7 linked regions of the Canis lupus familiaris genome follow. The protein of the gene in region 4 binds, or shares a complex with, the protein of the main gene of each other region. Links are inferred from orthologs where the notes say so. Each region holds a gene or a part of one and is shown on either strand. Other genes may lie near its edges. The genes, in order: MYBL2, E2F5, ARID4A, RBL1, TFDP1, E2F4 and TFDP2.

Region 1 (3,500 bases), about 5.7 Mb from region 4:
GTATAGAGTAGTATAGTAGTACAGAAGCCCAAAGCAGTGGGACCCCTGGGTGGCTCAGCGATTGAGCATCCACCTTTGGCTCAGGGTGTGATCCTGGGTCCTGGGATCGAGTCCCACACTGGGCTCCCTGCATGGAGCCTGCTTCTACCTCTGCCTATGTCTCTGCCTCTCTCTGTGTCTTTCATGAATAAATAAATAAAAATCTTAAAAAAAAAAAAAAAAAAAGGGGGATCCCTGGGTGGCGCCACGGTTTGGCGCCTGCCTTTGGCCCAGGGCGCGATCCTGGAGACCCGGGATCAAATCGCACGTCGGGCTCCCGGTGCATGGAGCCTACTTCTCCCTCTGCCTGTGTCTCTGCCTCTCTCTCTCTCTCTCTCTCTCTCTCTCTGTGTGTGTGTGTGTGTGACTATCATAAATAAATAAAAAATAAAAAAGGAAAAAAAAAAAAAAAAGAAGCCCACAGCAGTACAGCTATAGGACTGCACAGCAGCAGTAGTATAGGAGTAGCATGGTACTATAGAAACACTCAGCAATAGAGCTGTAGGACTGCACGGCAGCAGGAGTACACAGCTATACAGTAGGACAGCACTACAGAAGCCTCAGCAGTAGAGCTGTAGGACTGCACGGCAGCAGGAGGACACAGCTATAGAGTAGGACAGCACTATAGCAGAAGCCTCCGCAGTAGAGCCGCAGGACTACCCGGCAGCCACAGTACAGAAGCACCGAGTAGCAGAGTACTAGGAAGGCACGAGGCAGAGTACTAGAGAACAGGGTAGTATAGTACCACAGCAGCACACGGGAGTATAACAGTATACAGCACATCATATATACAGAAATGCAAGCACACAGTAGGCACTTCCTTCTCTGGGAGTCCAAGCAGAGTGCTTTTCCTCTAAATCGTGAACAGACATGATGAACAACAGCCGGACTGACCAAGCAGTCAGAGGAGAGGGTCTGTATCCCCGAACACTCCCGCTGCAGGACAGAGTGCAGACCAGGCAGGGGTATGGGCAGAATGAGGTTGTTGCTAGGGGATCAGCCACAGTCGGAAGAGAGATACACCCCACCAAGGGCTGAAGGAGTGTGTTGGCTCCACAATGGGCACAAGCAGAGTGCATCTCAGGCCAACAGAGGAAAGCAGAGCAGCTAAAGCCCCATGGGTAAGCAAGAGTCACAGTACATCAAGGCCAGGCTGGTGGCATCAGCCAGTGCAAGCAGGTCACAGAGGGAAAGAGACCCAGGCCTCTAACCCAAGTGCTAGGAGAAGCACCAAAAGAATGACACACTCAGGTTTGAGTTTTGAATCTAGACCATTTCAGACTTCAGAGGAGATACACCATCTGGCATTTTGTCTCCTCTCCCTCCAGGACGACAGTGTCATGACCAAGGATTAAAAATAAAACTGGGGTGCCTGGGTGGCTCAGCAGTTGGGTGTCTGCCTTTGGCCCAGGGTGTGATCCTGGAGTCCCGGGATCTAGTCCCACATCGGGTTCCCTGCATGGAGCCTGCTTCTCCCTCTGCCTGTGTCTCTGCCTCTCTCTGTCTCTCATGACTAAATAAATAAATAAATAAATAAATAAATAAAATCTTTTAATAAAAATAAAACTGAGGGGATCCCTGGGTGGCTCAGAGGTTTGGTGCCTGCCTTCAGCCCAGAGTGTGATCCTGGAGTCCCAGGATCCAGTCCCACATCGGGCTCCCTGCATGGAGCCTGCTTCTCCCTCTGCCTGTGTCCCTGACACACACACTCTCTCTGTCTCTCACGAATAAATGAATAAAATCTTAAAAAAAAAAAAAAAAAAAAAAAAAAAACTGAGTAAGGGGGAAACACACAAGGACAAAGTGAACAGTAGCAAACAGCCACAGATAAGAAACAAATAAGAGATTTTTGTAAGTTTCCAGAGGATGGACAGCACTTAAGAGGAACAATAAGCAATTTAGGAGAGGGGAATTGACTCTAGAGGAAGATTCTGGCAAGAATGGAGCCAAGTCTTCCAAATACTTCCCCAGAACCCCAAGAGGCTCTTAGAGGGACCAGGCACAGCAAGGAGTAGGGGGGAGAAAGCAGTGGGTTTGAATATCTAGATCCTGGCCCTGATCTTGCATGTAGGAGAAGACAAGTTTATTCTCTAGAGAAAAAGGACCAGGCAACCCTGGCAGAGGGTAGGGATGGTCCACAGAGCTCCAACGGGGACAAAATGAAAATCTGTACACAAAGGGTACTCCCTGTCCTGATCCCAAACTACCTATATAATCAGGCACGGGCACCCCTAGGCAAGAATCTGAAGGATTCATTCATCTCTGGGAAAAGTGACAACTGCAAAGAAATCGGACTGGCTCTTGGACTATCCCCCACAATAGCCCAGTGGATGCCCTCACTTCCTAGGAACATCCACGCCTGTCCTGGCCCCTAGATGGCAGCTCACCTCCCTGGCAGCATCTTGGCGATCTCAGCCCAGCGGTTGCCAAGCACCTTGTGGGCCTCACAGATGATGCGGTCCTCCTCCTCAGTCCAGCAGGACTTCTTTACCTCGGGGTTGAGATGGTTGTGCCAGCGCTCACGGCACTGCTTCCCCAGCCGGCCCTTCAGGTGCTTGGCGATCAGCGTCCACTGCTTTGTGCCATACTTTTTGACCAGCTCGATGACCTTGGAAAAGGCCTCTGTAAAGCCAGGGGAACCCACCCCTCCCTCATCCCCATCACAGCACCTTCCCTCCACATAAGCCTCATCTCACCACAGCCCTGAGAGGGCTGGCTGACACCCTTGCCAACCCCCAGACAGCCTCACCATCCCTTGATTCACTGGGGTGGGTGAAGGCCCACCGCGTGCCGATAGTTACCTTTTGGTCCTCCTCTTTGGTCCATGGCCCTTTGACGAGGTCTGGATTCAAGACCCTCAGCCACCGGTACTGGCACTGCTGGTCAGTGCGGTTCTAGGAAGAGGACAGGAACCTGTGAGGATTCCTAGGAGAGCAGCCTTGGACCCTGGCTGAGCACTGGGTTCAAGGGGCCAGGCCTATCTCACACAGGTTTTTTGTTTCCTTCACCCACCACACACTATACTCCCACAGGTTGGAACGCACATGCTTTCCCTGTAGGAAGTTTCCCTTCCTCCTCCTCCCCTCACAAAGAGACAACCATCAGGAACCATAAATTCCTATAAAAGCTTGTGGTGTATGTCAGGAATCCTTCCTTGCCTCGGGAAAGCATTATTTCCCTGAAAGTTTCAGATCTCATGGAAACAGGGAAGGTGAGGGATGGGGTAGGAAGGGTCTGCTGATGTGACCCGAGGTGCCGAGTGACTCAGGGAATAAGCCAGACAGCAGCTCCTGCCACATCCCCTCCCTACCAGACACCTGCAGTCCTAGGGGTGGGGACATGGGGGACCTGCATCCCCAGGAGGCTTCAGCTGCCCTGGGGGGGACCTCGGCAGGAAGCCTGCTGTAAGTATCACTTCCTCTTGGTTTCAACCTCACTGCTGAGACTAATGCAAATGTGCC
Region 2 (3,500 bases), on a different chromosome or scaffold from region 4:
TCCTTTGCTCTGAGAAGTCATTTTTTTATTTCTGTGACATCTAAGGACCTTTGAGAGGGAGATGAAAAACAGTGCATATTGCTCATGGAGCAGAGCTTCTGGAAGGGAAAATATTGATGGGGAAAAGGATGTTATCAGCAGGAGTGGACAGTGACCAGATAGACCTCCAAATCGAGAATCTTCCTGAGTCATGGTTTAGGGAATTGGGAATGGCCAAAATCTTGGAAAGCAGTGCAGCAAAGTCCGAGATCAACTAGTTCAATGGTTTTTGTATCTTGGGGCACCACAAGGCACAGCTTGAAAACCCCATTGTTATCAAACTGTTAAGGAGCTTTGATTCATAGAAAGGAAATAGCAAATGAGATCATGGACTTATTCAACAGATTACAAAACAACATAAAAAATTAGTTGTATACATTAGTCAAAATTCATGAGAAGTGGTAGGAGATAAAGGCCATTAAAAAATTCCATAAGAGTATGCATAAGTTTACAAATCAACAGAATCATTGGTATTTAAGAGAACAGTGATTTTTAAGAAACACATGAAGTAAACGCTAATTTTTTTCCCCAAAGTAATATGATAAATACATAAGCCTTGGTCCCCAAACTCAAGCAGGTACTATCTTTGAGTTAATATTAGGCAGAAAGTATCCTGGATTGATTGCAGGCTCATGATATTTTATTTTTAAGTAAATATTAATTTTTCAAAACTTTCAGAACTACTGAATTTTTAACCACTTCAGAACACTGAGCATAATTATTTAAATATACCTATACATTTAACAATGACTTCTAATATTCAGAAACCCCCATGCACACTTTAGCTAGCATACTGCATCCTATCAATGAGAGATTGAAAGTAGATGAATTTTTCTCAATGCAACACAAGAATGTTAATAGATGTATTATGTACTTTAAAAAGTAAAAACTTTTCAAATGTTAGTATAAATTACTAGAATAATATAAAATTAAAATATATTCACTTATAAAACTTTTTTAAAAAACAATAGAATAAAGTAACTGATCTTCAGACTGGAAAATATATAAATACAAATTCTACAGCTATATGTGTAACTTATTTATTTATTTATTTTATGTGTAACTTATTTAAAAGGATATCTATTATTAATGGAGTCGTCCATCACATTTTTGATGCTTTGCTGTAGCCACAACTTCTGCTGATCAAGTTCTCTTTCCTTCAGTTCTAGATCTTCAATTTCAGCTTTAAGATATCTTAATCTATCTATGACTTCTTTAGTATTACAGCCAGCACCTACACCTCTTAAAAACATACAAGAATTAGTATTCCCAGTATCAGGCCCAGGTTAACATCATTTACTTTTTATAGTAATAATAAAAACTGACTTAGTAATTTATTCAAAACAAAAATCTTTGTAATTTTCTAAAAATCAAGCATTAAAATCCTTAGAAAACTTAAACATCGTACCTCTGAATATATTTGCTTAGAAAATGTATCAGCAAGAACAATCAGATTATCAAAATTCTCAATGTTTTTGCCATACAGAAAATGAAAATTTTTATAAAGTCAAAAAAAAAAAAGTTTTCAGTATGCCCTAGAATGGTGCTTGTCCTCTGAAAGGCCAGGCTAGTGACGGGCACCAAAGGGGTGTCAGAGCTAAACAGTCACACCTGGAAGTGTCAAGATGTAGACTGAGATGCTGGTAAAATAAATTACCACCTTTTAATATTTTGGTGAGATTCTGGCTTTAAAACAAAACAAAACACAAAACTAAGGCCAAAGGGGACAAATCTGCAGAACAGAAAGGATTTTTTACATTCAAACATACAACCATACAACAGTTAACAAATGACAACATGCATTTCGATCAACTTACTATATATATGGTACACATTCCTACATATAGCATGTAGTTCCTGATCTTAAGGAGTTTATGTTAGCTGGGCAGCTATACACTTAGGCAGAGAGGGATTAATAATACAAAGCAGCATGCAGTGTGTGCCAAATGAGCATCCTGAGGGAGAAAATAAGTTGTGAATGTTCAGACTGTAAATCAACAGTGGACAGAGCAAGGCAACATGCCAACACAGGAGTGACACATACAGAGGCCCAGAGCGGTGTGCAGGGAAGGACAAGGCGCCTGCCTGGTGAGACCAGGGGGCCAAGAGAGAGGATTTAGGAGAGCTAAACAGGTCAGATCTTACAGAGCATAGGAAGAAAAATAAAGGTTTTAGACTAGGGTGCTGGTTTGTGACTTACTTCCATTGTATACTGTTTTTTGACTTTTTTTCAATCAGGTCAATTCCCTCCAAGACATTGGTGATATCATAAATTCTTCTCTTTTGTCTCACAGCCAGAGTATCTGCAGCCTGTTTTTTAAAAAGGGGGTGGGGGGGCAAAGCACAATGAAATAAAGGACAATTCGTATTTTAAAGCCAAAAAAAGATTAATTATTAAGTTGACAGCATGAGAGCCCAATCCCAAATTTGACCTGGTCAGTTGCTTGGGAACAATAGCTCTGAAACCTAGCAAATACCAAAGAAATTATTCCATTTAAAAGCCAGCAGATGTTAGAGTGGGGAAAAAATATATGAAATATTAAAGGTCGTGACACGAAGCCCGCAAAAATAAAAGAACACAGTAAGAATACTTCATGTCATCTTATGGACTAATCCCAAGGAGGAGCTACTAATTGTCTACCCGTGTCACTTCCTATTTTATTTCTCTGTTCATAAACAGTCTCGTCTAAAAATAGCAGCGGTTTGGTGCCGCCTGCAGCCTGGGGTGTGATCCTGGAGACCCGGGATCGAGTCCCACGTCGGGCTCTCTGCATGGAGCCTGCTTCTCCCTCTGCCTGTGTTTCTGCCTTTCTCTGTGTCTATGAATAAATAAATAAAATCTAAAAAATAAAAAAATAAAAAATAAATAAAAATAAAAATAGCCTTGTTTTTTCAACTTTGGAAAATTACATCTCAGCAACCTGTTAAATAATTAAGTCTAGATACTTGGCGGGGGGGGGGGGATTCTATATTATACATACATTTGTAGAACCTTGAAATGTACTATCTACATTTTTTAAATTCACAGTGAAAATGGAGGAGTGCATCATGCCATCCCAACACAAAGCATAAAATCAACAAGAAATCAGAATCTATGGCGCAAAGTCATGGTGCCAGCAGATACAATACGAAAGCTTGGTAGTCTGACTCAACAAAAGTTAGGTCAAGAAGAATATTTCATGCTATCTAATGATACGAATAAAATGCAGGAATATCATACTGTTTCTCTAACTGGTTCCCACTCACACTTGGGAGCTTCATTCTACCTAATGCAATAGACAAAACCTTAAAAAAGAGGTTATCCTACAGCTCTTTTTCAGGGGGAGTTAGACAATAACCTATCTTGAATGTGGAGTCACATAATAAGAGTCATGGTAGTAATGAAAAACACATTTATGTCCTTACTGGCAAAGCTCAGCACGTTACCCAAATTAATGAACAGAATTTAGCTTCATATAATG
Region 3 (3,500 bases), on a different chromosome or scaffold from region 4:
GTTATATGCACTGTAGGTGATAAACACATTTTCTTAATGAACCTAGAATATTAGTGTAAAGATTATTTCCTTTTGTAAATGTTAACAAATAAAAACTTAATTTTCCAGATTGATAGTGGTGCTGTATGGAAGCAAATTTATATGGACCTTGGCATTCCTATTTTGAATTCAGCTGCTTCCTACAATGTAAAAACTGCTTATAGAAAGTAAGTAGTATAGTTTATTCATCAAAGAATACATATTACAGGAATATTTTCCATTTAATTTGTTAACAATTAAACAAAAACACATCAAGGAACATTTAGTTAGAGAAAGTATATAAAAAGTTTTAGGTTAATAGATATTAGTGACTGAACGTTATTTCATCACACCAAGTCTACTTTATTCCATTTCTCGTGTTGTCTTGATTTCCTTTTCAAAGTCTGGGATGTGGTACGTTAATAGTATGAAACGATGATACATGTTTATAGAGTTATATTACTTATGTTGAATAGCCTTCATATCAAAACTATTATAGCTTTTTCAGGAAGAAATTTTATGATCAGTATTTCTGTTTATAATCCTGTATAAAGCACTGAGAAACTAGTAATAGAAAAAGTACTTTAAAAAAAGTCTCGAGTATTACTTTATAAAAATATGTGTGTTTAATAATATAGTATTTAAGTTAAATGTAAAGACAAAGATTTCTTAAAATGAAACTGTTTGTTTAGGTATCTCTATGGTTTTGAGGAGTACTGCCGTTCTGCAAATATTCAGTTCAGAACTGTCCACCACCATGAACCAAAAGTAAAAGAAGAAAAAAAAGACTTAGAAGAATCAATGGAAGAGGCTTTAAAAGTAGATCAAGAAATGCCTTTAGTGGAAGTGAAGAGTGAACCTGAGGAAAATATTGATTCAAACAGTGAAAGTGAAAGAGAAGAAATAGAATTAAAATCTCCAAGAGTAAGTACTTAATATTAGTTTTACCTGGTTTATTTTAAACATTAAATTTTTATTATGGACATTTTCAGATCCACACAAAAATAAGCCAGTGAACCTAGTTTATTTTCCAGTATTGAGTTGTGCATTAGGCAGACTAGCCTGGCTATTTTTTTCTAGATATAGCACATCTTCTTTCTTCTACCTAAAATACCATTCCTCCTGTTGTTTTCTATTTATGTCTGTTCAGATCATTCTCATCTGTGGTCAGTCTCACATATTTACTTCCTTCAAGTCTTACTAAAAGTCTCCCTTAGTATATAATTCCTTTGTAGAGATTGTCATCCATTGTTTTTGATCATTGTTGAATGATGTCTACATGGTAGGATTTATCAAATTTTAGGAGAAAAAATTTTTTCACACTATCAATGGCATTCATTTACTGTTACATCTTTTTTTTTTTTTAAGTTTTTATGTATTTATTTGAAAGAGAGAGTGAGAGAGAGAGAGAGGGAACAGAGGGGATGGGCAGAAGAAGATGCCCTGCTGAGCAGGGAGCCTGATGCAGAGCTCAATCCTGGGACTCCAGGACCATGACCTGAGCTGAAGGCAGACACTTTGCCAACTGAGTCACCCAGGTGCCCCTGTTACATCTTATTTTTTAGTGAAATCATGTTTAGTCAAAGAAGAAATGAAATTACCTCTTTTAGTTGCTCAGAAACCATTTTTTTAAAACTGTCCATTTTGACCATCATCCAGTAAATGGAATCTTCCAATGAATTTCATGAAACATTCAAATTGGTTTGCTTCATTTCTTTTTAATTTTTAATTTTAAAAAATTGTGGTAAATACACATACTATGTATCCTCTTAACCATTTTTAAGCATCAGTTCTGTGGCATTAACTATATTCCCAGTGTTTTGCACTCATCACCACTGTCCCTTGCCAGTACCTTTTTCATCTTGCAAAACTGAAACTAGCCATTAAACAATAACTCCCCATTCCCCTCTACCCAAGATTGTGGCAAAACCATTCTACTTTGTCTCTTTGAATTTGACTACTCTAGGTACCTCATATATATGGAATCTTACAGCTTTGTCCTTTTTTGACTGGCTTATTTCACTCAGTATAATGTCTCTCAGGTTCATTCCTGTGTATGTGTCACAATTTCCTTCCTTTTTAAAACTGAATATTCCTTCCTAAGACTGATTGTCTCCCATTATATGTATTTTGGACATACTTTCCTGTCATTAAAGATGTTCCTCATCTTTTGTAAATTATCTTCAGAGTACTACATAATATACATATACCATAAATTCACCTTCCTTAAAATTTTCTCCAATTTTTTATGATTACAAAAAGTGCTGTAATAAATATACTTGTAAAAATTCCTCCTCATTGGTCTGAATATAGAGGGAAGACTTCTAAGAATGGGATTTCTAGGGCACCTGGCTGGCTCAGTCAGAAGAGTATGTGACTCTTGATCTCAGGGGTGTGAGTTCAAGCCCCACGTTTTGAGATTACTTAAATAAGTAACTTAAGAAAAAGGTATATAGGTCTAAAGTCTGATAGATAGCAGTTGTTTTCATTCATTTACCTACACGTATTTAAAGAAAAGTTGCTCTGTGCATAGGATATAGAAGTATATAAGACCATCTCTGCCCTCATGGAATTTACATTCTAGTTCTTTGTGAAAAGAAAAATACACTTTTTTTCTAACTTTGAAGTTTATTTTTTTATTTTTTAAAGATTTTATTTACTCGTGAGGGACGGACAGAGAGAAAAAGAGAGAGAGGCAGAGACACAGGCAGAGGGAGAAGCAGGTTCCATGCAGGGAGCCTGATGTGGGACTTGATCCTGGGACTCTGGGATCTCACCCTGAGTGGAAGGCAGACACGCTTAAGCCCTGAGCCACCCAGGGGTCCCTAACTTTCAAGTTTATTTTTTTTATTTTTTTATTTTTTTCAAGTTTAAATAGCACATAGGAACTAGGGAAAACATTTGTTATACTGAAATACTAGTTGTTATTTTAGTACTCTCTAAGTTGTTGGTCCCCCCTTTTTTATTTTTAAAGATTTTATTTATTTACTCATGAGAAACACAGAGAGAGAGAGAGAGAGAGAGAGAGAGAGGCAGAGACACAGGCAGAGGGAGAAGCAGGCTCCATGTAGGGAGCCTGATGCAGGACTCAATCCTGGGACTCCAGGATCATACTCTGGGCCAAAGGCATGCACTAAACCTCTGAGCTACCCAGGGATTTCCCCCCCTCCCTTTTTTAAAGATTTTATTTGTTGGCCCCTTTTCTATCCTCACTTTATTCCAAGTAGAGGGAAACTGCCAGTGTGTAGCGGTGGACCTGAAGGAGAATTTAGGAGAGAATGAAATGGCTCAACAGTTTCACAGTCAGTTGAGCATACAAGAGGCTAAATGAAAGCTTCTGGGGAAGAACAAATTACTACCAGCCCAGTGAGCTCCAAATACTTATTCAAAGAAATCAGCTCACCTGTTGGCCATGGATGCATTTTAGTCCTTTTATTTTTAAAATTTATTTTTATTTTTTTTAGAGAGAGAGCAAGAATGCT
Region 4 (3,500 bases):
GTAATAAGATGTCAATACTAGTCAAAGCAATTTAGATTCAGTGCAATCCCTATCAAAATCCCCATGATGTTTTTTTACAGAAATAGAAAAATCCATCTTAAGAAAAATCCATCCTAAAACTCATGTGGAATCTCAAGGGGCTCTGGATTGCCAAAATAATCTCGAAAAAGAAGAACAAAGTTGGAAGGCTCACATTTCCCAATTTTAAAACACACTACAAAGTTCTAGTAATCAAAACAGTATAGGACTACCATAAACACAGAGATTAAGAGGACAGGGATGCCTGGGTGGCTCAGTGGTGAGTGTCTGCCTTGGCTCAGAGCGTGAGCCCTGGGGTCCCAGGGTTGAGTCCCACACATTGGGCTCCCTGCATGGAACCTGTTTCTCCCTCCACCTGTGTCTCTGTACCCCACCCCTGCCCCGTGTCTCTCTCATGGATAAATAAATAAAATCCTAAAAAGAAAAAAAAGAAATTACGAGGACAATGCTTAGAAAAGAGCCCAGAAATAAGCTGTCACACATATGGTTCAATGGCTTTGGAAAATGGTGCCAAGACCATTCAAGGGGAAAGAGTCTTTTCAACAAATAGTGTTGAGAAAACAGATGCAAAAGAATGAGGATAGATCCTCATCTTCTACCATATACAAAATTAACTCAAAGTGAATCAAAGAATTAAACACAATTGCTGAAAATATAAAACTCCTACAAAAAAACAGGGGGAAAAGCTTCATGACATTGGAATGCTCCATGATTTCTTGGATATGACACAAAAAGGAAAAGACAGTAAAATAAAACATAGACAAACTGAACTTCTTCAAAGTCAAAATGACTATCAACACAGAGAAAAGGAAACTCCTGGAATGGGAGAAAATACTTGCAGATTATAAACCTGATAAGGATTCTTATCCTGAATATATAAAGAACTACAGCTCAATGACAAAACTCAAATACAAAATGGGCAAAAGACTTTAATAAATATTTCTCCAAGGAAAACAGATGGCCAATAAACACATGATGGATGCTCAACACCACTAATAATTAGGGAAATGCAAATCAAAACTATGAGATACCACTTCATTCTGTTTTTCTTTTTTTTTTTTTTAAGATTTTATTTATTTGAGAAAGAGCAAGCGAGAGCGAGCATGAGCAGGGAGGGAAGAGAGAGAGGGAGAAGCAGACTCCTTGCTAAGCAGGGAGCCTGATGCGGGGCTCAATGCCAGGACCCTGCCATCATGATCTGGCAGAGACTTAACCGACTGAGCCACGAACGTGCCCTCCCCACTCTTCAGTCTCATTAAAATGGCTACTATCAAAAATAACATGGGACATGTGGGTTGCTCAGTGGTTGAGCATCTGTATTCCTTTGATTCAGGGTGTGATCCTGGGGTCCTGGGATGGAGTCCTACATCAGGCTTCCTGCATGGAGCCTGCTTCTCCCTCTGCCTTATGTCTCTGCCTCTCTCTCTGTGTCTCTCATCAATAAATAAATAAAATCTTAAAAAATAACAGAAAACAGAGTTGACAAGAATGTGGAGAACTTGGAACCTCATGTATGGTAGCAGAAATATAAAACTGTTTTTTTAAAAGAATTTATTTATTCATGAGAAGGAGGGGGGCAAAGACACAGGCAGATTCAGAAGCAGACTCCATGCAGGGAGCCCAATGCAGGACTCCATCACGGGACTCCAGGATCATGCCCTGAGCTGATGGCAGAGACACTCAACCCCTGAGCCACCCAGGCGTCTCTATAGCAGGAATATAAAATGGGGCTGACACTGTGGAAAATGGTATGACAGTTCCTCAAAAAATTAAATTCAGAATTACTATTCCACTTCTGGGTATATATACAAGAAAACTGAAAACAGAGACTTGAGTAGATATTTGTACACTAATGTTCATAGCAGCATTATTCACAATAACCAAATGGTAGAAACAACCTAAATGTTCATGTATGGATGAATTGAAAAACAAAATGTGATATATAAATACAGTGGGATATTATTCAGACTTAAAAAGGAAATTCTGAATGATGCTATAATATGGATGAATCTTGAAGACTTATGCTAAGTGAAACAAACCCTGTTACAAAAGGATGCATATTTGTACTTATATGAGGTACCTGGAATAGTTAAATGCATAGAGACAGAAAGAAGAATGGTGGCTGCCGGGAGCTGGTGGTGGGAAGAGGAATGGGGAATTATTGTAATTGGAACAGAGTTTCAGTTTAGGAAGATGACAATGTTCTGGGATGGATGATGGTGAAAACTGTGTATCAATGTGAATGTACTTAATGAAACTTTACTGTACACTTAAAAATGGTTAAAATGATAAATTTTATATTATGTATATTTTACCATACACACAAAAGAGAATGCTAAAGGTGCTCTATTACTCAATAGATGCACTGATTAAATGAGATCATTTTATTTTTAAATAATCTCTATACCCAATATAGGGCTCGAACTTACAACCCTATGATTGAGTCACATGCTCTACTGACTGAGCCAGCCAGGCACCCCAAATGAGATCTTTTGGATGCCATAAAATCACATACCTTTCTATAAAACAGTGCTAAAGAACCAGTTCTCTTTGGTTTGCTTATTCCAGTTGGATGTGCCTCTTGCGCTTTAGTCAGATGAGTCTGTTTCGGAGAAGCACCAATTAATGACTGAGCAGTAAGTGATATAGGACTCTCGACTTTGGACTCCTGAGCTGTGTTCATGGAAATTGGTATCAGTGTGATTTCTCCAGCATCATTTGCAATACCTAAACATATAAACAAGAGTTTTCAGTTTTAGAAATAAGCTGCATGTGTTCCAGAAAGGTTGTCAATTATCTTTAACTATCTATGTATAAACATAGGAATAGGTGAGAAAAGGAGAAGAAATCCACAAAAATATTAATTCTAGATTTTTTTTTTTAATTCTAGGTTATAACACCCTTGTTTTCTATTTCTGCTCTGAAAAAATACTGTTTTCTTTTGAACTCTAAAGGAGATGTTTTTAATCAAGAAACAAGATTTTTGCAACTCATTCATAAAGCTCAGATAAAAAAGTAAAATAGTCTTAACAAAAAGAATGGTAAATTTTTAAAATGTGAAAATTCAAAAAACCGTGTAAGTTCAAAACAAAACAAAAACAAAAGATGGAAACAGGATTTTTATGGCAATGACACTATTCTGTATAATACTATAATGGTGGATATGTGTCATTAAACTTTAGTCAAAATCTATACAATGTACAATACCAAGAGTGAACCCTAATGTAAACTATAGACTTGGGATAATAATGATGTGTCAATGTAGGTTCATCCATTGTTAACAAATATGCTATTCTGGTGCAGGATGCTGATGGTGATGGAAGCTGTGTATGTGTGGCAGTGGGTATATGGGAAACCCCTGTACCTTCTACTCAATTTGCTGTGAACCCAAAACTGCTCTAAAATAATAAATTAAAAAAAAATAGTATAGGTTCAAAAGAAACTGGGTTAAAAAGGCCACG
Region 5 (4,075 bases), on a different chromosome or scaffold from region 4:
CCTTGAAGCGAGGACCTAGCTATAGCAGGAGAGTGACTCAGTGCCCCCACAATGACAGCAGCACCTGTCAGACAGCCCCAGACACCCCCCTCCCCGGCACATCACCGGCGCTGCCAGCTCCTCCTTCCCACAGCCCCAAGGGCTCCTCAATCCCATAGATGTGGCCCTGAAGGCCCTGTCCACAATCCTTCACACCAGAGCAGATGCATGAGTGGACGCTGGACAAAGACCCGATGAGAACAGGGCCTGACTGCCCTCACGAGTCTACCCCGGTAGGACTGGTGGGACCCAGCATCTGCCCTGATCTGGTGCCACTGCACGTGCCGCTCTGGCGCTCACTGGCCGTTCACTGGAATGCCAAGAATGCTGCCACCCCTGTCCCATAGAGATGGCGCTCATGGTTGGCACAGCAGTGGCACAACCCTAGCAACCCTCACAACCCAAAGCAAGAACCAAGCTGGGAAGCCCCAAGTCCCCCTGGGGAACACCCAGTCTGACTCGAGCTATAGGTCAGAGCAGCCCGTCCTCCCTGGAACAGAAGGGCTTCATCTTCCCCCACCACGGGCTGCCTGCAGTAGCACCCAATGGGCGGCCTGGGCGAGAAGAGACCAGCACAACCTTTTCTGGAAAAGTCTGGGAATGGATGAAGAGGCCAGTCCCTACCAGTCTCAATGTCAGGACCCAGAGCTGAGGAGCCACTGGAGAACCAACGGACAAGACATAAAGGAAGGCAGCTGCAGAGCCCAGAGGATGAAGGAGCCACACAAGCACTGGACAAGAGACAGGTCCCCCACAAGTATCAGGTCTGCTCCGTGATACCAGGAAAACCCTCACATGAACCCTGAGTGCTCATGCTCGGTCAGATTCCTGTCTCTTGTACTCCCAAAGAGCTCGTGTAAAAGGGGGGCTGGGAATTTTAATATGGGCGGTGCACCCACCACCTGTGCAGCAGGCCGGGCCCAGCCTCACTCTGTCCCGTGAGAGCCCAGTGATGGGCAGTGGCCAGGCACAAAGCGGCTGCAACATCCAGAGCATACTGTCCCAGCAGCACGAGTCCAGATCTCAGGCTGGGAAGACCCTGTCTGACGCAGTTTGCCCTTCACTGTTAGACCAGCAGCACACAGGCCACCACCACCAGACGCTGGCAGCCCCCCAGGTGCGACAACGCCTGGAGGCTATAGGTGCCATTTCTGGAAATGCACTGCCTCTGATGGGATCATCTGCCCAGAGCTGCCAGGTCAGGAAAGACACACCTGTCTTATTCCCAAGCCTGGTTTTCAGTTCGGAGCCTAAGAACCACAGGACAACAAATCTGACCTAGAAAGAAGCTAAGCAGCTGGCAACCAGCTCCTGTGGACGCCTACACTGTCCACACTCAGGACGGTGACCAGTTTACCCCACAGCAAGTCTTCCAGACACAGAAATGATCTGTTTGGAGACAGAACATGCGTCAGAATCACAAGAGGTGCGAGCTTGTTTTTCACTAACAAAATGAGAAAAACAAAAACACTACTTTTAATGCTCTTGTTCACGGGTGATGTGGAGAACAGCTTGTACCCCAAGCCTGGGGGATGGTGACCAACATATGAGACAGAACTGGGAAACCACGGGCCCCAGGCACTCTGCTGGGGCTGGGGCGTCAGGCTCCAGGAAATCGCCACACCATCAGGCAGACCTGTCCTCGCCTGGGGGCGAGGTGGGAACAGAGATGGCGAGATGGTATGCTGTGTCCCACTGTGGGTCACCAGGAGAGGTGACAAGGCCCGTGGGTACAGCTGCCGTGGAGGCCAGTGCTTTGGGTACACACTTTCTGGTGGCTGCAGAGCCGGGCAGTGTCTCCACTGCAACCCAGCCACTCCCAAATTCTGACCCACAGAAACCCTGCAGGAGAATAAACATTTACTATTATTTTAACCACTGAGCTTTGGGGTCCTTTGTTTCACAGCAATGACGACAGTGGTCAATCGTTTTGCTACAGAACCTAAGGGAAAAAAAATGCTTCTTTTCATCAACTGGGAAGTCATTCAATATATTTCTGAAACAAACTTTAACAGTAGCACACAGATTTGGCACAAATTTCCTGGTGTAAGACCACTCATTGCCAATTATCAAAGACAAACAGCCATGACCAAAGTAACGTATCTAGGTTTCCTGACCTCAGACAACAGCACCTGATGAGTGCGTCCACAAGGAGCGATGGCCTGGGAGTAAGCGAGCCCTGTGGTGCCCGGCTGGCAGGATCACCGCTGACTACTCAGGCAGCAGAGGCCTGGCAGCTGCGATACCAAGCAGGACACTCCTGAGGCCAACTGGCTTCCCTGTACGGATGACCTACACTGGCTCCAGTGCTGGTTCATCCTGCCCAACTGCCCACACTCACAGCACAACACAGTTTCCACACGAAGCCCAGGCCCCACCCAGCTCGCATCCCCCAATTCCGCTCTCTGTGGAGAGACACACTTGAGTGCAGCAGGCTGTGCAGGTCTACTTCATCTGGAGGTGCACAGCCCACGAGGGCTGCACCCCTCCCGTGCGCAGCAGGTACAGTGGCCCACGACAGCAGCAGAAGCGTGAGGACAGAGTCTTTATACTCAAAATGCAAACCTACCCTCCAGTAAGAAAAACACCAAAATGCTAAATTTGTGTTAACACATAAACCAAAAGCAGAAGCACTCGTGTGCCACAACTAACCGTTTTTCTTACAAACATGGCATTCATCCTTTCATGTTTGTGCTACATGAAAACAAAACCAGCTGCTATGTTCTCATGTGGGCAACGAGGATCCCGCTCCCACAGAAAGTCACCAAGCCGCCTGGAGAGCTGAGCCAACTGCAAGGGCAGACAGAAAGGGGATTAAGACCACTTTAGATGATTCACAGAACGAGCCAGAAGTCACCAGGCTCCAGGCTTCAGAAAGTCCACCCATGTCCCTCCAAGCGCCCTCTACCCCCCACAAGGCGCGAGGGCCACAGCAAGGCCCTGCCTCATCCTGCCGCCCACCCTGGATCTTCCTCCCCCTCCACCCACCCCATCATCGCCCCCTACCCCCATCCTCTCCCTGAAACACACCCCATGAGACAGACTCCCTCTGGGCGCCCGCATGACAAGCAGGACAGAGCCCCAGAACTCAGGGCCCGTTGGAGATGAAGCCTGTGACAGGGCAGCAGGGCGCAGCTCCCGGTGGGAGGGGAGGCCAGGGCTGCCTCACTGCCCCCCTCCATGGGCAGGCCCCATGCTTCCCACCACCTCTGCACACTTTCTACTTCCAAACAGGTTACCTACCACGGAATACAAGTCCCCACGGGGGAACAGAAGCCCCTTAAGGCAGGACAGAGGCCTGGGCAGACAACCCCCATGGCAAGTCCAGATCGAAGCGGTCCCCCAGCCCGGCACGGAGGCTGGGAAGGGCTGAGTGGTGGCACCCAAGCAGCCACTGTTAAGTCTCAAACAAATGGCAAGACGCTCCAACAGAACTTCACCTCCTAGAAGAGGCAGTAGGCTAGTCATTCAAAGACAGAAGCATGAAAGCACCCAAACGGGGCCAATGAACGGATGGAGAGTCAATGAGGACATGGAAACGTGGAAAAGCCAGCAGAGAAAGAGAAACCTACACACAGATCTCCTCAGGGACAGTCACACAAAACGTGGGGCACCTGAAGGAAGCTACAAGGGCCTTGAGAGAGGGACCACCCTCCTCTACTGACCTTGCCCCCAGCCCCCAGTGATACTCCTTACAGGGGCCCCTTTGCACACGCAGCGGTGGCCAGCACCCAACCACAGTATCAGAAGCACGTCTGGGCCGAGGGGGCATGGAGTGCTGCTGGGAGTGCCGGCAGGAGGCAGACACAGTGCTACCAGCAGTGATGGGTGTGGAAGAGGGCAGTGGAGTCCTTCCACAGAGGCCAACAGAGACACCAACTCCCAGGAATCACAGCACCCACGGGGCCACACAGGAGACTCCCTGGCTCCCTGATGGATACACGCCACAGCCACGGGGCAGAAACCTCAACACTGCAAATCATACCACAGAATGCCAAACGCTGCTCAACACCTCCCGTTTCAGGGGGGACCTGCA
Region 6 (2,862 bases), on a different chromosome or scaffold from region 4:
GATGAATGGAGGCCAGACAGGCCGAGTGACCTGGTCCAGTCGGATGAGCTGCGGGATGGCGTCAGGCTTCTGGACCGCGATCTTCACCACGTTCCGCGGGGGCGCCATGGTCCAGCCGGAGCAGGAGCGCCTGTAGTTTCCAGACCGTCCAACGTCCGGCCAAGGAAGCGCCTGGTCTGGTGCCTCCGAGAACGAGGGTGTCCCTCTGTCCAAGGCCTGGACCCGTGGCCCGCACTCACGGGTCAGGCTCCGGCTCCTGGACAGGGGCCGCGGCCTTCCCAAGGGAGCCGAGACTAGTTCCGGGTTGGAGTCCCGTGGGAAGGCGCCTGCCCTGCCCCGCCCCGGCAGCCCCGCCCCGCCCCTAGGTGCGCCAGGTGGGGGCGGGGAGGGCGGGATACCGCAACAGCCACACCTCCCTTTCCAACAAAGGTGACCCGCCCGGTCCCACCACCAATCCAGCAGAATTGCAGGGAGGGGCCCTGAAAGAACCAGATCAGAGATAGCCTTAGGCATGGTCTTTTATTCACTTGGATACTGTACAAATATTACAATTTTCTTTTGCTGCAAAAAGTATAAAAATAATCTTTATATAGGAATCCATTCGTTACTGCAAATCTTTCTAAATCTCTGCAAATGGCTCTAAATGAGGGTAAATGAATAAACAAGAAGGGAGGGTTGGTCTACAGGGCAGCAGGAGATTGGGCCAATCCTCAGGGGCTCACCTGCCCAGATTTCTAGCTAAAGACCTCTCTGTTCCTTCTGGTTGACAGCCATTCTCCTCCCCCCGCCCCCATAGGTACTCAGAGCTAAAGGTCCAGCAGATGAGGGGTACACAGGAGAGGTCTAGGGGAAGCTGCAGGGTCAGGGGTGGGGAGAAGGGAAGGAGGCTCGGAGTGGTGCTGGCAAGCATCTGGCTCCACCCTCAGCTTTCCTCCCCAGAGTGGGAGGCGTTGGCTGGAACAGGGCAGTGGGGCTGGACAAGCTGCCCTATGGGGATGATGGCAGGTCTTCAGATCTGTGCCACTGAGTGGCAGCCGAGCCTTGGCTCTGAGAGGGCTCGGAGAGGGCATGAGGTGGGGGAAAGCCCCAGAAAAGGAGAGGCAAACGCTCTGGCTCCATGGTGAAGGGGGCTGAGCCCCTTTCCCCTGCTTTCCTAGCACGGTACAGGTGCTCTACTCGTGCAGGAGTGGGAGTTTTGATCAGAACTGCAGTGAGGGAAGGCTGGGGAAGCCAGGAGTCTGTGGCTCTCAAGCCGTGTAGGGGTAGAGCAGGGGAGGTCCTCAGGCAGCCCCCAGGTCACACAGTCTGTGTCCCAGCCACACAGGGAATGTCCCTGTCAGTCAGAGGTTGAGAACAGGCACATCGAAGAGGTCACAGACACCTTCACTCTCGTCCAGGTTGTAGATGTAATCGTGGTCTCCGGGGGGTGGAGATAGGCGGAGGAGGGGGGCAAACACTGCAGAGAGCACCAGGCTGAGGCCCTGGGCCAAGCACAGCCCCCAGCAGTTGCCCAGCCCCCACTCCCACCCCCACCCTCCACCTTCCTGGGCCACCCACCTTCTGAGGACATCAGCTCCTCCAGCAGCTCTGAGCTCATGCATTCTGGAGGGAGGAAAAGCTGGGTTACATTTTGGCTCCTGGCTCTCCACCCACCAAAGCCCATGAAGAGGGCCCTCCACGCACCACCCCCCCATCAAGAACTTTTTGTCCAGGTACCAAACGCAATCACAGGGCCTCAGAAGTGCAAGAAAACAACCATGAGACCCTTACCCCACGGAAGAGTGCAGACCTACCTCTTGTGGGATCAAAGATTTCTGACAGCTCTTTGGGGAGTTCCAGAACTGAAAGACAAGAAAGCCATGCTGGAGGGCACAGAGATCCAGTCTGGTCCCATTCCAGCCCCCACCTTCCTCAGATCTACCACCCATCTTGGGGCTCCACACAGCTGGAGGTGGAGGGCATGCCCCAGGCCAAGCTGGCGTTGTCAGTCTCCCTGGCTAGATGTGAACTCCTGAGTACCCAGGGTACTAAAGGCTCATCGCAGGTGACTGATACGGCCCTTCTAACTCAGAAGTGCTGCAGAAAGGCAGCAGACCCCTCCCTTCACGGGCTCAGTAGGTATGCCCTGTCTGATGGCGGCTGCCCCACTCACTCCTGCCCTTGCTGAGCACCTGCTCAATGCTAGGCTCAGCGACCACACCCGGGACCAGGTCATCTGGCAAAGCAGGCAGACATTCGATAGGCGCTGGTGCTACAGGGTGACAAGTCTGCTACAAAGGTCTGACTGGAGGACACACGTGTGGAGCAGGGGAAAATTAAACTAGCAGAGTGCTGGTGCACGAGGACTGCACATACCAGGTGAGGGGGCTCTGCTCTTACCCACCAGCCCTTAAGAAGCTGTTGGAGGTACTCTGTAAACTCAGAAATGGCACACACAACCTGTGTTTCAGACAACCCTATCAGTCAGGGTAGAGCGGAAGATGCCGAAGAATTCAGGACAGAGGTAGCCAGTAATGACCCTGAGTATGAGGACATGAAGGCAGCGATGGGAGATGTCTGAGACAAAACTCAGTTAATGCAAAGCGAAGAGGAGATGGAAGCAGAATGATGTGCAGGTGTCAGGCCTGAGGGACCAGGGCCAATAGTAGGGTACACACTGACAGAGAAAAGCTAGTTTCAGTTAAGGACCCAGTGAAGGTGAGAGAGGGAACACAGAGGACAGTGTCAGTGAGAAGAGACTGGTGCTTGTGGGCTGAGGAGAACGAGTCCTAGAAGCGAATACCCAAATCGCAGGATAAAAAGAAGACTCAAGGCAAATGACATCACGTCCCCTGGGAAGACACTGCCCCCACTTTTGAAGCC
Region 7 (3,500 bases), on a different chromosome or scaffold from region 4:
GGCACTGTGGAAATAATGATAATATAGTAAAAAAATACCAGGAGGAGACAACAAAATAGGCTTGCTCGTGTTCTCCTTGCTATTTTAAGGGGTATGGGATTCAAAGCAGATTAACTATTTAAACAGATGAAGTAAATAGTAACACAGGTTTTGGCACAATATATTTATTTAAAGTCATAAAAACAAACTGTAATAATATTACTCTTTTAACAACTACCACTAAGATATTCAATCTGTATCTGTGGTAGACAAAAGATGGGACATGCAAGTAGATAGAAGCATATTAACTTTTTCCCTTCATAATCAACAGATATTGGTTTATAGGTAACAACAAAAGAAACAAAATACTGAAGTTACTTAAAGTTATAAAGATAACCAGTTAAAGAACTAAAGACTACAAACCTTCCAATTTATATATTTATAAAAAAAAAATAACACAGCAGTGAATAGACAGAAAACCCCCAACTCTTGCTTGTATTCAGGGATGAGGATGGGGTTGGTAAGTTAAAATTTATATTAGATGATAAAATGTGTTAAGAAGAAATGCCTCGGTACAGTGACATCTGAATAAAAATTGGAGAGAAGAGAGAAACCATATGGCTCCTTAGCAGAGATTCAGACATAGGAAATAGCAAGTCTAACAGTCTGATAAGGAACGTACCTGGCATATTCACCCCGAAACAAAAAGCAAACAAAAACCCACCAATCTCATTCATGGCTGTCAGTGTAAAACTCCTAAATTTTCAGGAAACACACAGAATTTGATTGAATTCAATATCCATTTCTGAATTTTTTAATTAAGAAAAATGAAAGAAATATTCATTTAAAAGATCAAGTTATGGTTGCTATAATTTCAAGATAAAACTTTTATCATAAGGTGGCTAGAGTATAGTAACTGGGAGAGTTCCTAGTAGGAGATGAGATGAGAGAGGTAATGGTGGGCTAGATCATATAGGTCTTGTAGAACATTTTGAAAATTTCCACTTTCACTCAGAATCAGAATGCGACATACCTTCTCTACAGGTGCCAGAGAAAAGAAAAAAAATGCATTACCAAATAATGGCTCACAAGAAAAATCTCAAAGCAATTTTAAAAAATATATAAATAGTTCAATTTACAAAAAAAATCCCTATTACCTGGAAATATAAAAATTCTAATGCCATTCTTAGGTCAGAGAGGAAACTAAAACCAAAGTTGCAGAATATTTAAAGAGTAATATATCAGAATCAATGGGAAATGGCTAAAGCAGTGCACATGAGGATAAGTCACAGCTATAAACATTTTCATTGGGACGCCTGGGTGGCTCAGTGGTTGAGCGTCTGCCTTTGGCTCAGGGTGTGATCCCTGGTCCAGGGATCAAGTCCCACATCGGGCTCCCTGTGAGGAGCCTGCCTCTCCCTTGCCTGTGTCTCTGCCCCTCTCTCTGTGTCTCTCATGAATAAATAAATAAATAAAAAAAAAAAAAAAAACATTTTCATTACTAAACAAAAATAATCAAAGTAAATAAAGTATATATCATAATCTACAGGATAGAAAAATAACAAAAGTAACTTCAGGAAAGAGAAGATACTATTAAATGAACATAGGAAAAAAAAAAGAAATTAACTACAAAACAGAAGAGTCCATACAAATTTAGGAGATGGTTCTTTGGGAAAAATAATTGCAAATAGTTTTAAGAACATGTATGAAATGGAGGATTTTCTAAGAAACCATAAAATACTAAAGGAGACAAAAATTCTAAACAGGCTAATTACCAAAGTAAAAATGGAGAATGCTATCTAAGCATTACCCCCCACCAAATCACCATGCCTAGATGGTATCAGAGGTGATTTCTATTCTATAAAATGTCAGGGAAGCAAAATACACATCTAATGCTATTAAACCTATAATGGAGTAAAGTGGAAGAAGGAAAAAAACCCTCTAAATTTTAAAAAGCCCAGCATAACACTGCAAATCAAAACTGCAAAGATGGAAAAAAAAAAAAAAAAAAAAACAACTGCAAAGATGGTAAAAACAAAAAGATTACATCAATCTCATTTAGGACTGTCAGTGTAAAATACCCAAATTTTCAAAACTACACAAAATTGGAATAAATTAAATATCCATTTCTGATTATTTTTAGTTAAGAAAAAAGAAACATTCAGGATGCCTGGGTGGCTTGGCGTGTGGTCCCAGGATCCTGGGATCGAGTCCCACATTGGGCTTCCTGTAGGCAGCCTGCTTCTCCATCTGCCTGTGTCTCTGCATCTCTGTGTCTCTCATGAATAAATAAAATCTTAAAAATAAATAATAAAAAATTAAAAAAAGAAACATTCATTTAAAAAATCAAGTTATGGATGCTATCATTTCAAAATAAAACCCTTGTCATAATTAAGATTGGAATATTAAACATATTTCCAGTAAGGTCAAGAACTATTTTAAGAATTGTGGAGTATATATAATATGATCACATTTAAATAAAGTGCAAATTGATCTATAATGATAAAAAGCAGATCAGCAATTGCCTAGGGATAGAGGGAGAAGGAGGGAAGGAGGGATACATTACAAAAGGCAGAAAGAACCTTTTGGGAGTGACAGAACTGTTCTGTAGCTCTCCAAAATAAACAAAATCTTAAAAATAAAATAAAATAAAATAAAATAAAATAAAATAAAATAAAATAAAATAAAATAAAATAAAATAGGGAATAGGTTTTATTATGTGTATGCCTAAGGAACTTTGGGGATGATACTAAAGAATCTGGTAATAGTGAATATGCCTTTGTGGAGAAAGATTAAGGTCTGTGGTTAAAAAGAGGACTTACATGTTCCATAAATATGTCTATAATGTTCTATGAATATTCTCTGCCTGCTGCTCCTCCTGCTGTGCTCTCAAATAAACAAATAAAATCTTTTTAAAAAAGTATGTTCCTTTTGTAACTCCCCAAAGTATATTTAAAAAATACATGCTAATCTTTATGTTTAAATAGATAATAAAAGAACCCTTTCTAAAACAAAACTCAACAGAAGAATTCCCCAAAAGACAATATGAAACCCTCACGTAAAGGAGTTGGGGATTCCCTAGCTTGTCTGAGTCCTTAAAAAAATGACACAGTCAAAAAAAAAAAAAAAAAAAAAAAAAAGACACAGTCAACCTAGAGATACACTGTTCTATCACTCATCATAGTCAATGTCAAGTGCATGATCTACCTACCGAATCAGCTGCCAAATGGTTATTTGAATTGGTGAACTCTGATACCAGCTCATCGGCCACTTCATTGTATGACGTTGTACCTTTCCGCTGAACTTTCTCACATACTTTCATGGAAAAATGTCTCAAGCCTTTTCCATTTTTATCTCCTTTTTTGCTTCGTTTACTAAAAGAGAAAAAAATGCATATTTATACACCAGACTTCCTTTATGAAACTATAAAGTAATGTGAGAATATACTAACTTGATTTTTGCTTTAGGTGGTCAATTTTAAATTGAATTAGAGATGAGGAAATGTTCTGAACTTAATTTTT

What was found.
Region 1: RBL1 (region 4) and MYBL2 share a complex: the UniProt entries of both Homo sapiens proteins name them as parts of the DREAM complex. The link is inferred for Canis lupus familiaris from reciprocal best matches to the Homo sapiens genes RBL1 and MYBL2.
Region 2: the proteins of RBL1 (region 4) and E2F5 are in contact, whole or in part, in a crystal structure (PDB 5TUV), measured with the Homo sapiens proteins. The link is inferred for Canis lupus familiaris from reciprocal best matches to the Homo sapiens genes RBL1 and E2F5. Residues at the interface, in NP_002886.2 of Homo sapiens: Ser1000, Ala1001, Leu1002, Leu1003, Tyr1004, Lys1005, Phe1006, Asn1007, Ile1017, Met1020, Ile1021, Gly1024, Glu1025; in NP_001942.2 of Homo sapiens: Met162, Ile190, Ala192, Pro193, Ser194, Gly195, Thr196, Gln197, Leu198, Glu199, Val200, Pro201, Ile202, Pro203, Glu204, Met205, Tyr213, Leu217.
Region 3: the proteins of RBL1 (region 4) and ARID4A are in contact, whole or in part, in a crystal structure (PDB 7SMC), measured with the Homo sapiens proteins. The link is inferred for Canis lupus familiaris from reciprocal best matches to the Homo sapiens genes RBL1 and ARID4A. Residues at the interface, in NP_002886.2 of Homo sapiens: Tyr849, Ile850, Lys853, Val854, Thr860, Phe861, Gln862, Met865, Lys866, Arg869, Tyr879, Arg880, Asp929, Leu930, Ile931, Tyr934, Asn935, Val939, Ala946, Leu947; in NP_002883.3 of Homo sapiens: Leu957, Val958, Cys959, His960, Glu961, Val962, Asp963, Leu964, Asp965, Asp966, Leu967.
Region 5: the proteins of RBL1 (region 4) and TFDP1 are in contact, whole or in part, in a crystal structure (PDB 5TUV), measured with the Homo sapiens proteins. The link is inferred for Canis lupus familiaris from reciprocal best matches to the Homo sapiens genes RBL1 and TFDP1. Residues at the interface, in NP_002886.2 of Homo sapiens: Tyr1004, Phe1006, Asn1007, Ser1011, Leu1014, Ile1017, Asn1018, Ile1021; in NP_009042.1 of Homo sapiens: Pro260, Phe261, Ile262, Thr290, Phe291, Glu292, Ile293, His294, Asp295, Ile297, Glu298.
Region 6: RBL1 (region 4) and E2F4 share a complex: the UniProt entries of both Homo sapiens proteins name them as parts of the DREAM complex. The link is inferred for Canis lupus familiaris from reciprocal best matches to the Homo sapiens genes RBL1 and E2F4.
Region 7: RBL1 (region 4) and TFDP2 share a complex: the UniProt entries of both Homo sapiens proteins name them as parts of the DREAM complex. The link is inferred for Canis lupus familiaris from reciprocal best matches to the Homo sapiens genes RBL1 and TFDP2.

What each region holds. Positions count from the first base shown.
Region 1 is NC_049245.1:31,976,504-31,980,003, reverse strand, and holds part of MYBL2 (myb-related protein B), read right to left. Parts: intron 2,934-3,500; coding exon 2,841-2,933; intron 2,648-2,840; coding exon 2,427-2,647; intron 1-2,426. UniProt on the Homo sapiens protein: Transcription factor involved in the regulation of cell survival, proliferation, and differentiation. Transactivates the expression of the CLU gene.
Region 2 is NC_049250.1:32,350,466-32,353,965, reverse strand, and holds part of E2F5 (transcription factor E2F5), read right to left. Parts: intron 2,350-3,500; coding exon 2,240-2,349; intron 1,282-2,239; coding exon 1,120-1,281; intron 1-1,119.
Region 3 is NC_049229.1:33,999,709-34,003,208, forward strand, and holds part of ARID4A (AT-rich interactive domain-containing protein 4A), read left to right. Parts: intron 1-108; coding exon 109-206; intron 207-710; coding exon 711-942; intron 943-3,500.
Region 4 is NC_049245.1:26,287,936-26,291,435, forward strand, and holds part of RBL1 (retinoblastoma-like protein 1), read right to left. Parts: intron 2,767-3,500; coding exon 2,555-2,766; intron 1-2,554. UniProt on the Homo sapiens protein: Key regulator of entry into cell division. Directly involved in heterochromatin formation by maintaining overall chromatin structure and, in particular, that of constitutive heterochromatin by stabilizing histone methylation.
Region 5 is NC_049243.1:61,025,366-61,029,440, reverse strand, and holds the start of TFDP1 (transcription factor Dp-1), read right to left. Parts: upstream 2,801-4,075; 5' UTR 2,719-2,800; coding exon 2,692-2,718; intron 1-2,691. UniProt on the Homo sapiens protein: Can stimulate E2F-dependent transcription.
Region 6 is NC_049226.1:82,754,895-82,757,756, forward strand, and holds the end of E2F4 (transcription factor E2F4), read right to left. Parts: intron 1,842-2,862; coding exon 1,794-1,841; intron 1,603-1,793; coding exon 1,558-1,602; intron 1,457-1,557; coding exon 1,341-1,456; 3' UTR 501-1,340; downstream 1-500. Other genes in the region: ELMO3 (engulfment and cell motility protein 3), read right to left, coding at 31-108. UniProt on the Homo sapiens protein: Transcription activator that binds DNA cooperatively with DP proteins through the E2 recognition site, 5'-TTTC[CG]CGC-3' found in the promoter region of a number of genes whose products are involved in cell cycle regulation or in DNA replication.
Region 7 is NC_049244.1:38,314,548-38,318,047, forward strand, and holds part of TFDP2 (transcription factor Dp-2), read right to left. Parts: intron 3,354-3,500; coding exon 3,191-3,353; intron 1-3,190. UniProt on the Homo sapiens protein: Can stimulate E2F-dependent transcription.